Linked DNA regions of Pelodiscus sinensis. The protein of the gene in region 2 interacts with the protein of the main gene of each other region in a pairwise test. Links are inferred from orthologs where the notes say so. Each region holds a gene or a part of one and is shown on either strand. Other genes may lie near its edges.

The links. The genes of interacting proteins can lie anywhere in the genome.
Region 1: the proteins of BNIPL (region 2) and FAD-linked sulfhydryl oxidase ALR interact in a two-hybrid assay, tested with the Homo sapiens proteins (2 studies listed by BioGRID and IntAct). The link is inferred for Pelodiscus sinensis from reciprocal best matches to the Homo sapiens genes BNIPL and GFER.

What each region holds. Positions count from the first base shown.
Region 1 is NC_134726.1:37,661,243-37,668,752, forward strand, and holds the start of FAD-linked sulfhydryl oxidase ALR, read left to right. Parts: upstream 1-4,491; 5' UTR 4,492-4,521; coding exon 4,522-4,695; intron 4,696-5,540; exon of another isoform or gene 5,541-5,542; coding exon of another isoform or gene 5,543-5,662; intron 5,663-5,836; coding exon 5,837-6,048; intron 6,049-7,510. Other genes in the region: FAD-linked sulfhydryl oxidase ALR-like, read left to right, coding at 2,740-2,902.
Region 2 is NC_134734.1:18,844,058-18,851,935, reverse strand, and holds the start of BNIPL (bcl-2/adenovirus E1B 19 kDa-interacting protein 2-like protein), read right to left. Parts: upstream 3,007-7,878; 5' UTR 2,864-3,006; coding exon 2,820-2,863; intron 1-2,819. UniProt on the Homo sapiens protein: May be a bridge molecule between BCL2 and ARHGAP1/CDC42 in promoting cell death.

The sequences.
Region 1 (7,510 bases), on a different chromosome or scaffold from region 2:
TCCCAGTGGAGGCCACATTCAAAGGATCCCACCCATGGGCTGCATGTTGAGCCCTGCATAAACCCAAACTGCACCGTGGGCCACAAACAAATGGGCTGTGGGCCACATGTAGCCCATGGGCCATGTGGTGAGTAGCCCTGATCTACATGATGGAAGCTGGCTTCAGGTACTGGTCTCTGTTAACGCAGGCTATAAATCAATCTGTTTCCCAGTAGCCTTTTCACTAGGGATGTTAAATTTCGATTAATCAGCTAATCGAGCAGTCGATAGAATTTCCATCGACTACTCAATTCGTCGATAAAGGGAGTGCTCGCTATCCTGCTGCGCCTCTGCCTTTGAAATGTACGAGAGCCGCGGGCAGCTGTTGTATATTTCAAAGGCAGAGGTGCAGTGGGGAACCTGCGCAAGTGGGGACGGAAGCAGTCCCTGATCGTGTGAGGTCCCGACTGCTGTGCCTCTCCATGTACAACAGCTGCCCATGGCTCTTGTACATGTCAAAGGGAGAGGTGCAGCAATTGGGATGCCGCCAGAGCAGGGACTGCTTCCATCCATTTCCCCCGTTGTGCCTCTGCCTCACTTGCCCCTTTGCCGCACGGTGCTGGGAGCCACCAGCTTTTAAGCTAGATCCTCCCTGCACCTGCTCCTACTCCCCCGCCCTTGGTGCCTCTGATACAGAGGCAGCAAGAGGGCAGGGGGAAGCAACTAGTTAAGTAGTGACTCGACTACTCGATAATCCTAGGCTTATTGGGTAGTTGACTAGAAGCTTACCTCCCTACTTTTTACCAACCTGATATGATGTATGTGCTATGTTCAAATGCATCATAAGACATACAATGAGTAACACACAACTTCTGAATCAGCACAGGCTCCATGGGAGGAAATCCTGTTGCTCACAGGAGCTAATAGACCTGAAAGTGCTCCTACAGCAATAATGTTTTCAGTGCTTTGGAATAAGTTCCAGTTTATCACACTCTGTGGGAACCTATTACAGATACTGTGGATACAGTCAGCCTGTGTAATGCTGGTGAAAGTGACTTCCTGCTTCCAAAACAACCTCTACTACCCAGCAAGTAAAATAATCTGTTTCACAAACTTAACCAGCAGAAAGTCTCAGAGGGGTCGCTGTGTTAATCTGTAACTTTTAAAAAGCAATGAGTAGTCCTGTAGCATCTTAGGGCTCATCTAGACTACGCTAGAGTGTCAAAAGAGGATATGCAAATTCCATGAGAATTTGCATATCTTCTTCTGATCTCACTTTCAAAAGCTCCGCTTTCAAAAGTGAAAGACATGGCTTTTTCGGCGAAACACTCCTTTGTCGAAAAAACATGTAAACTTCATTTTTTGAGGAAGAGCAGCTTTTCAACAAGGGGGAAGAGGTGTCACCGAAAAAGACACATCTCAACTACTTTCACTTTTGAAAGCTCTGCTTTCGAAAGAGAGATCGGAAGAAGATATACAAATTCCCGCAGAATTTGCATATCCTCTTTCGACACTCTAGTGTAGTCTAGATGAGCCCTTAGAGACTAACAAATATATATATATTGTATCATGAGCTTTCATGGGCAAAATCCACTTCTTCAGATGAGCAGAGTGGAGAAAAAAGGGGGCACTTCACAATATATAACAGAAAAAGAAGGGAGAGCGAGAGAAAAGAAAAGAAAAAAAATCCGTCAATTGTAGTGATGGTGCTAATGAGGCTATTTGAGTGGGCTGGAAGTGTCCCTTACTTAGCTTTTCATGTCAATTGTGTATTGAATATAATGGCGTGTCCAGTTCATGTCTTTGTTCAGGTCATGAGAGATAGTGTCAAATTTGCATATGAAGGCAAGTTCCGCAGAAAGCAGGTAAACATTCGAGCAAGTCTGGTATATATTCTCTCCATTAGAGGGCAGCATTACACCTACTGTAAACTGGGGCAGAGATGTGAATGGTTAAACGGGTTTACCAGTTATGGTTAACCGGTTTACCAGTTATGGTTAACCGATGGCCTGGCCAGGATGGAGTGGCTCCCCCGCCCCCATTTAATTAGTCAACCAGTAAAATATAACATTTAACCAGTTAATGGAGATTTTACATCCCTAACCTGGAGCCTATTCATTACACACAATGAATTATAGTATACACAATGAACTGTATTATATTACTATTGTTATTACAATTGCAGTAGCACTCAAAATGTGCTAGATGCTCTCTAAATATAGATGAAGACCTAGTCTTTGCTGGGCAAGTGTTTAAAACCAAGAAGGGGTGAGTAGGGGGTTGTACTGGTGACATGAAACTGATTTTGAAAAAATTAATTACAAGGAGCCCAAAGTACACAACAGCTGAATGTTACTAAATCTGCCAAGAGGTTTCCTCTTGTAAAGAGCTAATCAATGGGAATATTTTAAGGTATTACTGAGCCCCGAGAATGCATTGGTTTGCAGAGGCAAAGCAGTTTGGACAGGGCCATCCAAACTTTGCTCATCAATAACTTGGTAGGAGCCTGAAGAGCTATAAAATGGAATAGACTCTATATGCCTCAACATTAATTAGAGTTATTAGTTATTAAGATATGGCCTATGGAGGAGACAAGAATCTACATGATGTGTTTCACTTTCATCAGCGGAGGTTGCTCAGATCAAGATGGTGCATGGGACAACAACTCTGCAGACACTTCAGTGACTCTTTGTTTGAAAAGCATAATCAATGATTCTGGACTAAAGTAAGTAGTGTTTTGATTCTTTTCTACCTCTGCAGATTAAGCATAAAGAAGCCAGACACCAGAAGCAGGAAGAATCTATCCCAATGGATGTGTCTGCTTCATAACGATGTGAACAAGATGTTGGGCAAACCCAAGTATGACTGCTCTCAGATGGACAAACGCTGGCGAAAGGGCTGGAAGGGTGGTTCCTGTGTCTAGATTATAGAGATGCCATTGGAAATAAGACTGAAGCTATTATCATTAAAATAAAATTAAGAACTGAACCTGGTGCAATATAATTAAGAACACCACAAGTAAACACATGTGGATGTTTTTCCTCTCTCTCTGAAATGTTTTTATTCTCTCAAGAAGCTTACTATTTGTCTCTGCAACACAGAGATCCATGCTGCAACTGAATTCTCAAGGAAAAAAATCCAATTGTAAGTGATTATGAAGCTGCTAAGACTTAAGACCTTAGGCTGGTCATGGGAACAAGTTCATAAATCACAGCAGAAATGCTGACAAGTTTTGCCTTTTTGTTTCCTTTACTCAGGGATGCCTGTGTCTTAGACCAATTAATAGGGACTAGAATAATGAAGTCACCTTTAGCCCCAATTAAGTGTTTGAGAACATGTGGGATTATAACATTTTTGTTAAAAATAATTAAACATTAGGCTGTCCCTGCTAATGGCAAACATGTATTTAAGTGGTTATCCTGTGTTGTATTTGCCCAAAACAGCTTTGAAACTTCAGCCATTTTGGGACTTCTAGCTAACGGTTTCACAATCAGAATTTTGTAAATGAGAAAATGTTTTTTTTCCATGTATGCCAAACTCATAAATGGCCGCATAATTTTTTTCAAAGTCAGTTTTCCTGCTCAGGTTCTCACTACAGACAAATCTATGTAGGTCTTTGTGGATTATTTTATCCTATTAAAAATCAGTTCTGTGTATGGGCCAGATGCAAAGCCCAAAAGAAGACTATGAGAATCTTTCCACTGATTTCAACAGGCTTCCAATCACTTTCTATGGATTTAATACATTTAAATATTTCTAAAACACTTAAGTCAGTGGCGGGGGAAACCCACGCCGTGCAATAACTGTTTCCAAACTGAGCGCTCATATGGTTATGCTGAACAGCCTTTGGTGCATGTTAGTGAATGTATCTATTCTTTCCATTTTCCTGCCTGTTAAGTTAGGAGGGGTACCCATTGTGCATTTAGGCAAGCACTTAGGCTAGGGGTGGGTAAATACCAGTCTATGGGCCAGCTCCAGCTCCCTAGGATTAACCCCCGGTTGGCCGCCACAATATTCACCTGGGCTTCTGCACATACAGGTAGGTGTCTGCAGCTCCTGTTGGCCATGGAACACCAATCCCGGCCAACGGGAGCTGCGGGAATTGGCGTCCCAGTCCGGCATCTCTTGGCCAGGAACAGCGCCCTGGGGCCAAGGGGAGCTGCACTGGCCAGTACCTGGAGAGGTAAATACAGCGGCGGTGGCCCACCACGTTGTACTGCCCAGCCCTGACTTCAGCTCAGGGTCTGCTTGAAATGCAAGAGCCGCACTGGTGGCAATGGGCCAGGCCTGCACGCCAAGCACCGGGGGAGGCCAGGCTCCCAGGGCCTCTGCTGCTCGGATGCTGTCCAGAGCTGACACCGGGCTTTCCCCTCAGGAGGGGCCACGCTGGGGGGTTACCACAGAGAGGGGGGGCCCCCCAGGGACGAGACTCTCCTTGTCTTCCTGGCCCTCTCGGTCTCCTCGTCCGAGGCCCCGCCCGGCCCTTCCCGCCGCCTCAGCCCCGGGCTCGCCGAGCGGGGGAAAAAGGCCACCCGGCCCAACATGCTTTGCGGTTCCAAGATGGCGGCGCCCAGCGAGAGCCCGGCTGCCGGCCCCGGCGCGTTGCCTTTCCCGCCGGGCGCCGGGCCGGGGCCCCGCAAGAAGCCGTGCCGGGCCTGCACGGATTTCCGGAGCTGGATCCGGGAGCAGCGGAAGCAGACGGCCCCGCCGAGCGGGGTGAGGGGGGCCCCCTTCGGGAACGGCCCCGCCGCCTCGCCCCACAGGCTGTGCCTGGAGAGCCCCCACCCCTCACCGGCAGGGATTGGGGGGCTGGCCGCGCCTCCCCAGGCTGGTGGGGGGTATGAATGGGAACCTGTGCCTCCCCCCCCCCATGCCCTTTCCCAAGCCATGGCTGATGGGGGAGTATGAATGAGAGACACCCAACCACCCCCTCGTGAGCAATGGCTGATAGAGTCCAAATTAACCCAAATTAACCCCTTCCCCGGCTGATGCGGGAGTATCCCTGTCCTCCCCCTGCACTGCCCTTCACAGACCGTGGCTGATGGGGGAGTATGACTAGGAACTCCTGTCGTTCCCCCCTTCACAGGCCATGGTTAACAAGGTGGTAATTAGGCACCTTTTTAGAACTCCCCTTCACAGGCTATGGTTGATGAGGGAGTAAAAATGAGAGACACCCACCCATCACCTCATGAGCAATGGCTGATAATAGAAATGAACCCTTTTATGCTTCACTAGCTGTAGTTGATAGGCGAGTATGAAAGACACACACACTCCAGAACTCCCTTTCATAAGCCCCGTGGTTCACGGAGTACAAATGAGAGACCGCCTCAGAACTCCCTTTTATACTTCCCAGTCAACCACAGCCTGTGAATGAGACCTTCCACACCACACTGGTATTGGTTGATGAGGGAATATGAAATGAGGACCCAACCTCTCAGAAGGAATGGGGGGAGTACAAATGACCTTCTTCTCCCCCCCCCCCCCCCCCCCCCCCGCCCCGCGTGAGCAGTGGTTGATGGAAGAATGAGAGTCACATTTGTCCCAGATCTCCCCTTTGTAGGCTATGGGTGAAAGGGTAGGAATAAAACACATTCCTGGAACTCCCTCTTCACAGGCAATGGTTGATGGGCAGAAGGAGTATGAGACCTTAGGCAAATTAACCTCCCTGTGCCCCCTACCAAAGGTGAATCATATTTGTCCACCTCATTTAAGGAGGTTTTATTAGCTAATATCTGTATGGCCTCGGATTGAAGATGCTCCAAAACCACAGAGCATTTGGTATTAGTGTCATATGATACTCATTTTTGTAGTCTTAGTATAAATGTGTACACATAATCTTCCTGTTTTTCTGACCCAGGAAACAGATGTTGAAGAGGAGAAGGAGAAGCCTCCAGATTGTCCTCTGGACAGAGAAGAACTTGGAAGAAACACATGGTCTTTCCTTCATACTATGGCAGCATATTACCCAGATCATCCCAGCAATGCCCAACAACAAGAGATGTCACAGTTCATTAACTTATTTTCCAAGTTTTTCCCTTGTGAAGAATGCGCAGAAGATCTGAGGGAAAGGTGAGGCTTTTCAAAATATATCTGCAGATAAGAGAGAGTTGCCAGGTATCTAGTTTTAAGGGACCTTGAGGATCCGGCCAGCATTGCCAACTGGCCCATTAAAAGAGCTGAGTTAAGATCCCTACTGCTCTGGCTCCATGCTGTTCCTGTAAGTGGCCACCAAGTCCCTGAGGCTAGGCACTGAGGTGGCCAGGGGCTAGGAGGCTCCGTGCTTTGACCCTGCCCCAAGTGTCGGCTCCAGAGCTCCATTTGACTAGGAAGCGTGACCAATGTGAGCTGCCAAGGGCAGTGCACAGAGCTTCTCTGGCTCCAACCTAGCAGCCACTTCCTAAGAGCCATGTTAAGCATCGTCAAGACCCTACACCCCAAATCCCCTTCCTCATCCCAAGCTCTTCCTCCCCAGCCCCACCTACAGCTTGAGCGTGACCAGCCTCACCCTCTCTCAAACCCCTACCCCACCATGGAATCCTCTCCTGCACCCTGAATTCCTATTTTGGCCCCACCCAGAGCCTGCACCCCCAGCCAGAATCCTCACCCCCGGTGGACTCCAACTCTCTTCCCCGCTATATGTCGCTTCGTGTACATCCATTCCACACTAAAGTCGTTGATGCTTGTAGGAACTGATGCATTATAAGTCCTCCCATTTCCCACTCTTACGTTGCGTGCCAAAAAAACCCAAACAATTTGTGCAAATGGAAGTTAGCCATGGGGAAAAAAATTCCCAGCTTTAAGTTGTTTTGCTATAAGTCCCAAGTTTTTTGGAATGTATCTTGGACTTATAACGAGGACGGCCTGTATTGTGCAATTAGAAAGTTGGCAATCCTAGTAAGAGATCTACTTAAAGTGTTGGGCTCTAATAGCCTCGTTTTAGATCAACATTTGTTGGTATCTTTATAACTATTTTGTATTGTATTTTGTGTTACAAAGATGTTGTTTTATGATTGAATAAATCATAAACAAAGACCCAGGACATACACATTCAGAAGACAAACACCCAACTGCTTTCAGACAGCACAGTAGCTCCCAGAACTAAATGGAGTTTGGGTTGTTTGCTGGTTCAAATCTCGCTCAGATGAGTAGTGACAGTTTTACCATTGTACAGCTGTTTGGTGGCCTTTTGGGGGGCTTAGTGTCACTTTCATTAGACAGGTGTCTGCATCACAAAAACACCACAATAATTGGCTGTGGTGTGACATTCTGAACAGAGGCTCATGGGTCTCATGACTAGATGGACTGTGCGGTTTGGTAATCTCTCTCTCTATATATAAAAAAGTTTTTCCTGCCATGTGACGTAGAGAGCAGGGCGCAGCCCCCTGGTACTTTAAAGTCTTGTTCTTGTCAACAGTGAGATTCTAGGAAAAGTTTATCAGATTCCAAGAAGCAAACTTAAGAATCTCTGGTATCAAATCAGTGTCCTAACCTCGCAGGCAAAGAGAACTGCATGAAGAAATGTATACAAGTG
Region 2 (7,878 bases):
TAGGTCTTAAAATAAGTCAATAGTATTACCATCCCCATTTTACAGGAGGGGAAACTGAGCACGGTGAGGCAAAGCAACTTGCCCAAGGTTATATAGCGGGCCAGTGGCAGAGCTAGGAAGAGAATGCTGGCTCCCCAAGTCCCAGTGGGTGCATCTAGACTACATTCCTCTTTCGAAAGAGGAATGCAAATGAGGGAAATAGAAAATGCAAATGAAGCGCAGATTCCCAGTGTGTGCTCTGTCCACTAGGCCACACTGCCTCGATGCTCAATACTTGGATGGGAAACCTCGAAAGAAAAGCCAGGCTGCTACCGGAAGCAGTGTCTGCAAATTTGCAGGATGCACTCTGCCCTTGTGAATCAGTGTGGACTTGATGGAGGTGTATGGGCTACAAAATCCCCCGTCAGGTGCAACGTCCAGCACTCTGGCTTAAAACCCAGCTCCCACAGAATCGCCTCCCACTTGGCAACGCTGCACCTGCCGTTGCAACAGGACAAGTTACAGAATCCTCGGGGAAGCACTTTACTGGCAGGCGGCACGTTGACTCTGAACCCTACTGCTGGTCACTAACTTTTGCTATTTCGTTCCTTCTCATTTTAAGGCGAGGGAGGGGATGAGGGAGGAGCACAGGGTTGTGGGCAGAGCTTCCAGTCCCACCACTTCCTCTCTCTTTGCCCTGCTCTCAGAGGAAAGAGGTGCAGAGACAAGGAGACATCCGCCCTCCTTTGTTCCACCGCAAGGGCTTTCTGCTCCACCCTCCTTCAAAGAAAACAAACAAGTCACGCAGTGGCTGGGGCAAGTCTCGGTATAATTCTCCAGTGATTCTGCCCTACTTCCCTTCTGAAGGTTAACATGGGCTCTCAAGTCTTTTCACCACCCTGGGAGCAGTAGCTGAGCCTGCTTCAACTCCCGAATACCCTGCTAACCCAAATCCATCGATTCTAAGCCCAGAAGGGACCCCACTGTGATCATCCAATGTAATGCCCTGCATAGTACAGACCAGAGACCTTCCCCAAAATAACGAGAGAGACCGTGAGGAGTGCCCAGTCTAACTTGACAAGGCAGCCCAAGGGAGGGCATGATTTCCAGAAATTGCTTGCACCCCTATTTGATCTGAACACCACAGGTAAAAAGTCCTGGAGCCCCTTGAAGTCACTGGAATGTTGCCTGTGATTTCAGCAAGAGCTGGATTTTGCCCACGCCCCTTCTGAGCATCTTAAATTGAGCTGTGGGAATCACTGATTTTTCAGGTCCCTGGCAAGTGCAAAAAAGCAGGAATTTTTTTTATTCAATCCAAACTCAAATTTTTTGGAAAATAAAAAAATTTTGTTTAAAGTTTCAAATCATAGGAATCGTTTCATTCATCTTGAAGTGGAACATTTTGTTTTAATTTTGTTTAACATTTTACATTTAAAACATCTAGGCTACGTCTACACTGGCATGATTTTCCGAAAATGCTTTTAACGGAAAAGTTTTCTGTTAAAAGCATTTTCGGAAAAGCACGTCTAGATTGGCAGGATGCTTTTCCGCAAAAGCACTTTTTGTGGAAAAGCGTCCGTGGCCAATCTAGACGCGGTTTTCCGCAAAAAAGCCCCAAACGCCATTTTCGCGATCGGGACTTTTTTGCGGAAAACACTATTGTGCTGTCTACACTGGCCCTTTTGCGTAAAAGTCTTTCGGAAAAAGACTTTTGCCCGAACGGGAGCAGCATAGTATTTCCGCAAGAACACTGACGATCTTACATGAGATCGTCAGTGTTTTGCAGAAATTCAAGCGGCCAGTGTAGACAGCTGGCAAGTTTTTCCGCAAAATCATCTCATTTTGCGGAAAAACTTGCCAGTCTAGACACAGCCCTACTGTATATTTGAGAGAGTCTGTCTGTCTGTATGTTGTTCAAGAACTCCTCCTAAGAGCTAGGACCACTAAATTCAGTATTCAGCTTCCTTGTATCATAACTTAAAGCCAGGTAAAGTTTTGGCTGTGCCAGGAAAATGGGATGTGCATGGAATGGAATTGCTTCTCATAAAATCATACAGGATTGGGCCCCACGTTCAGAAACTATCACTTTCTGAGATGGATTTGTCAGCCTGCCTGAAAGGCCAGGCACAGTATGAGACAGTCAGTCAAGCCACAAAACACCCAGGGTAACACCCTGACTTTCCGGGTGCCTCTCTTAACACCCGCAAAAGATGTTTGCAGGTTCCACTGAGCACAGATAGGCACTACCAGAGACACACAGACTAGACTAGAGAGAATCCTGAAGCTGCCCATCTCATTGGCCTGGCCAGCGGCCGGGGAACCTGAATTTCCCAAGCTAGATTCGAACAGCATAGGATACTGCTGACCCCATTTACACTGGAGTGGAGTCGCTTCAGATCAGTGGCTCTCAATCTTTCCAGACTACTGGATCCCTTGCATGCCCCTAAGTTTTACCTCACTGAAAAATTACTCACAACACAACCAGACACACATGCACACAAAAGTCACACCACACTATTACTCAAAAATTGCTGATTTTTGCATGGTTAACCTGTAATTATAACATATATCAAACGCAATATAAATACCGGGCTTCCATCTCAGGGTATTGCACAGAGAGCAGTATAAACAACTCATTGGTGGTATGAAATTTTAGTTGTTACTAACTTTACCAGGGCTTTTTATGTAGCTTGTTGTAAAACTAGGCAAATACCTGGATGAGTTGATGTACCCCCTGGCAGACTTCTGCCTACCCCTCGTGGTTCATGTACCCCTGGTGGAGAACCACTGGTCTGGATTAACCGAGATCAGAATCCGCCCTGACTGGCATCAAAGCTCACCTTTGAGGCTGGAGTTTCTCACCATAGTCCACGTAGGAGCCCATTGTTCCAGCCTTCCCCAAAACGCAGAAGTTCACTGGGTTTTCCCCCACTTCTTTGGAAGACAGATCCTCAGTGGATTTTCCTGGCTGTTCCTCCCTTCCTGCAGATCAGATCACAGGACAACACCAGTTACCACCCAGACTGCTCATCCTAAACTGGTTTATCTGCATAAACACCTGACTCCACCTGGTGAGAATTTGCTGGGTCCTAGTGCCCATTTCTCCGCCCTGTGGACAAAGCCCTAAAGTGGCAGAAGTGTGTGTGTTTGGCTCAGGGCTGCCCGGGGGAGGGGGACAAGTGGGGCAATTTGCCCCAGGCCCTGCAGGGGCCCCCATGAGAATGTCTGAAGTCTGAGACAGGGAGTGCCAGGAAGCCCCCCCCCCCCGAAATTGCTTTCCCCCAGACCTCCTGAATCCTCTGGGCATCCCTGGTTTGGGCTGGGGGATGAGGAGTGAGGATGCTTCCTATTACCCCCGGTTTGCCTGCTGCTATATCTGGGCTGAGGAAGGCAGGGGCAGGCCCAGGGCTCCATCGTAATGGACGGCTTCAGACAGAATCCCTGGATCCCAACCCATTTCAGGCCAAACCTGGGGTCTGCAGGGGTAGGTAACAATGGAGCAGGATTACCCTGTCCTGGCATTAGACTGTTCCCAGGCACAGCATGACCAAACAAGCTGCCATGGGGATCTGACAAAAAGAGCCCCCTCCTCTGCGGGGGTGGAGGGGGATAGTTATCGGCGACAGAGGGACCCTGCTGTGTCCTATTCCAGGCTCTGCTGCTGCCTCATTTGGTGACCTCAGGCCAGTCTCCATGCCTCAGTTTCCCCCTTCCAATGCAGAACAGTGCCCCCCTCTATTCCCTGCAAGAGGCTTGACTGGCTAAAGCCGAGCACTCTGAAACAGCAGCTCACTCAGCCCTTTAGGGGGGAGGGCAAACGGATAATGGGTGCTAGGCATTAATCACGATTCACCTCCCACCCCCCCGCCAATTAAGGAAGGAGCCCCGAGGGATCCAAAGTCAAAGGCCTCCTCTGCATCACAGTGGTTCCTAGATGCACTAGGTGCTGCACACAGAGAGAGCAAAAAGATGGGGTCTTAATCATGAAGGAGCTTTGCGATCTCCAGCCTCTCTCGGTGGCAGGGCTTTCGTGAGGCAGGAACCCCAGGATGGAGGAATACGAGGCCCCAGCAGGAAGCTTCATTTGAGCTGCTCAAATGAAAATCCCTCCTAACTGTCTGGAGCGTGCACTTGGCAGCACGGACAGGTGGGCCGGCCTCCAGGGTACACGACAAGGGCCATTACCAACACCAGCAAACTCCCCTCCGGCCTCCACGCCCGGCTCAGCTTTTCCACTGACTCAGAGGTGCCTGATTCACTACAAAACCCACAACAGCTCCTGCCCAGAGCCACATTCAGTGCCTGGGTTACTGCAGCAACATGGCCCCCACCAACTTCCCCGGATCTAAGCCCCCGCCCCCGCCACACTAGCTTCCTCTTCCCTCCACATCAGCCACCCAATGGACCCCAAAAGCTGTTAGGCCTTTGCCCTCCTCTAATTAACCGGCAGAATGGCCTTGGGGCTGAGTCAGGACTAGAACCTTTGCGAGCAGCTTCTAGCTCTGCCACCCGCTCCCAGGGTGACCATCGACATGCCGCACCATCGCGCCAAACCTCCCTTTCCCTGTCTGTAAAACGACAACCAGTTGTAAGCCTGTCTTTGGCCAGACTGGCAGCTCTTTGGGGCAGAGTCTCCCTGTGTGTGTCTGTGCAACATCCCGCCCAGTTGACGCACTGATCTCAGTTTGGGCCTTAAATTGCCCTGCTACAGGCTGAACCTCTCTAGTCCGGCACCCTTGGGACCGGGCTGGTGCCAAACCTGAGAATTTGCCAGACTACAGGAGGTCAACACTGTCTAGCAGCATTAGCAACACTGCCGCTGCTGGCGGGGCTTTGAGAAGACATTCAGGGAGAGCTAAATTGCAGCACAGAACACTGACAGCCAGGACGGGTGGCTGTAAACTTTATGGGACCGTGGGAAACTTGGCCACACCCATGATCAGTAGACATCTGGCTAGCTAAAATCATGCCAGACCACGGAGGTTGCCGGACCAAAGAGGTTCAACCTGTATTATAAATAAATATAACACAAGCCATAGGCACCGACTTCCTCTCCAGCTGGGGGATGCTCCACCGTTGCTTTGCCCCGGCCATGCCCTCTCGAGGTCCCTTCCAGTCCTAGTATTCTATGATTCTATGCCCTCAGTCCACCCCTTCCCCTAAGCCCCGCCCCAACTCCACCTCCACTCCACCCCTTCCTCCAAGCCCCCGCCTCCACTCTGCCTCCTCTCCAAGCCTGCCCCATCTTCCTCCCACTCCCTCCCAGCGCTTCCTGAACACCAGGAATCAGCTGTCCTCAGCATTCCAAAAGAGCTGGAAGGGAGGGGGAGGAGTTGGTCAGCTGGGCCACTGGCACAGGAAAGGTGCGGGGTGGGGGAGGGAGACAGATCGGGGAGCTTGGGGTCGGTGGATGCTTCACACCCCCATTTTTTCCCCATGGGCACTCCAGCCCCGGAGCAACCATCGAGTCAGGGCCTATGACACGTGGGGTTTCCATTATTCAGCAAAGGGGGTTCAGAATTCAGGGCTGAATCTTCCCTGGATTCATCACGATTAGTCCACAGTTCATATCCCCCCGCAGCCCTTTAAAACAAAACTCCAATCAGGTATTAGGGAGAAATTCTGCAGCCTCTCTTATACAGGGCAGACCCAGTGAGCTAATAGGGCCCTCAGGCTGTACAATCTCTAAGCACACACCCATGCGCACACTTATGCACGCTCGTGCACATACCCTCTTCAGTTTTCATTCAAGGGAGGCTTTTCCAACCCAGGTGGGATCTGATGATTGGCCCTGTGCGTCTGTCAGCTGGGTTTGCATCTGCCCTCGGCGGTATTGCTCGGCCAATGGGAGCATGCTCTGATGATGTCATGCTTCCAGAGTGGAATGAACGGACACTCACTGAGGAATTCTGGGAAGACTGGTCTTTCTGCTTTGCTGAGCCTGCAGCCTTCGTGTTCGCATAGTTGAACGGATTCATCAAAGTAGGGATTTTTTTTAAAAAGAACAACCCTAAGGCTTTTTGCAGAGTCCAGCAATGTAGATTGTGAGTGTCTTTCAGCCTTTAAGCATAGGGACTGTTGTATCTTTAACAAAGAAAGTTTTTCTCCCCATAGGTGTTTGAGTTAAATTGGTGTTGACAACAACAAAAAGTTTGACTGAGTCTGGTTCAAAGCCACTTCCCATCTTAATCCAGTTTCATTATTTTGCATGGCATAATCTTGCCAATTCTCCACTAATTCAGGAACAGGCCTGCAAAGATTTTTCTGTTCTCTCCTCCACTGCCCTTTCAAAACTAAGCAATCAAACTGCATAGCTGGCAAAGATAGGGGAGAACGAACCCTACTTGGCACCTCAGCTATTGTGTTTTGCTGTTCAAGCCGCAAAAATCAAACATTTATTTTCCTCATTACAAATAGATGCTGCCAGGAACTATTAGGTAAATACAGGAGCTTCGGTTACATATTTGACTGGAAAAAAAAGCAAGTCGAGGCAAAGCCTCATTTATAAATGTGTTTAAACAGCAACCTGGCAAAGAAAGCAAAAAATGAAAAGATCCTTTCCAGTCTTAGGTGAGCATTTGAGCTTAAATTTGATTTCACTCAAACGCTAGGTAAGCAGTTGGGAAGAATGTTCTCTTTGTTAAAGATCCTCCCATCTCCTGCCCCTCACTTGGTTCTCGGAACCCTTTCCGCAAAAAAGGAGACTTTTCTAAACGTATAAAACCAAGCAGAGCCGGTTTCAAAAGCCTTTCAATTCTTTAAACCAAACAAGGCAGACAAAAATATGGGTGTGGACCTGGTTTACTTTTCCCTTTACAAAGGACCTTTCACCCAGCTCTGGCAGGAGAAAAGGAGAGTTTAGACTCAGATTTCCAAAGAAGCCTTGGAAAAGGAGGTGGGTGCCCAGCTGGCATGCCTCAGCTTTCAGGCTTTTATGGTGGCCAGCATGGGCCTATTCACCACTTCCTTGGGCTTGGGGTGTTTTGAAACAGTTTATAAGTGTAAGCTCTCACTTGCCATTTCAGGGGGTTTCCTGGTTCTGCTTGCAAGCTAAGGGGAAGAGTGTGACAGATAGTGATAGAAATGTAGCCGTGTTAGTCTGGGGTAGTTGAAGCAAAATGCAGGACAATGTAGCACTTTAAAGACTAACAAGATGGTTTATTAGATGATGAGCTTTCGTGGGCCAGACCCACTTCCTCAGATCAAATAGTGGAAGAAAATAGTCACAACCATATATACCAAAGGATACAATTAAAAAAAGTGAACAAATATGAAAAGGACAAATCACATTGCAGAACAGAAGGGGGATGCGGGGGGGGGGGGGAGGGGGAGGAAGGAAGGTAAGTGTCTGTGAATTGATGATATTAAAGGTAGGGAGAGTGGGATGTTTGTGAGTTAATGGTATTACAGGTGATAATTGGGGAAACTGTCTTGGTAATGGGTGAGATAGTTCAAATTCTTGTTAAGTCCTTGTTGGCAAGTGTCGAATTTTAACATGAATGACAGTTCAGAGGATTCCCTTTCAAGTGCAGATGTAAAAGGTCTTTGTAGCAGAATGCAGGTGGCTAAGTCATTTAGAGAGTGTCCTTTCTGGTTAAAGTGGCAAGAAAGTTTCTTGCCACTTTAACCAGAAAGGACACTCTCTAAATGACTTAGCCACCTGCATTCTGCTACAAAGACCTTTTACATCTGCACTTGAAAGGGAATCCTCTGAACTGTCATTCATGTTAAAATTCGACACTTGCCAACAAGGACTTAACAAGAATTTGAACTATCTCACCCATTACCAAGACAGTTTCCCCAATTATCACCTGTAATACCATTAACTCACAAACATCCCACTCTCCCTACCTTTAATATCATCAATTCACAGACACTTACCTTCCTTCCTCCCCCTCC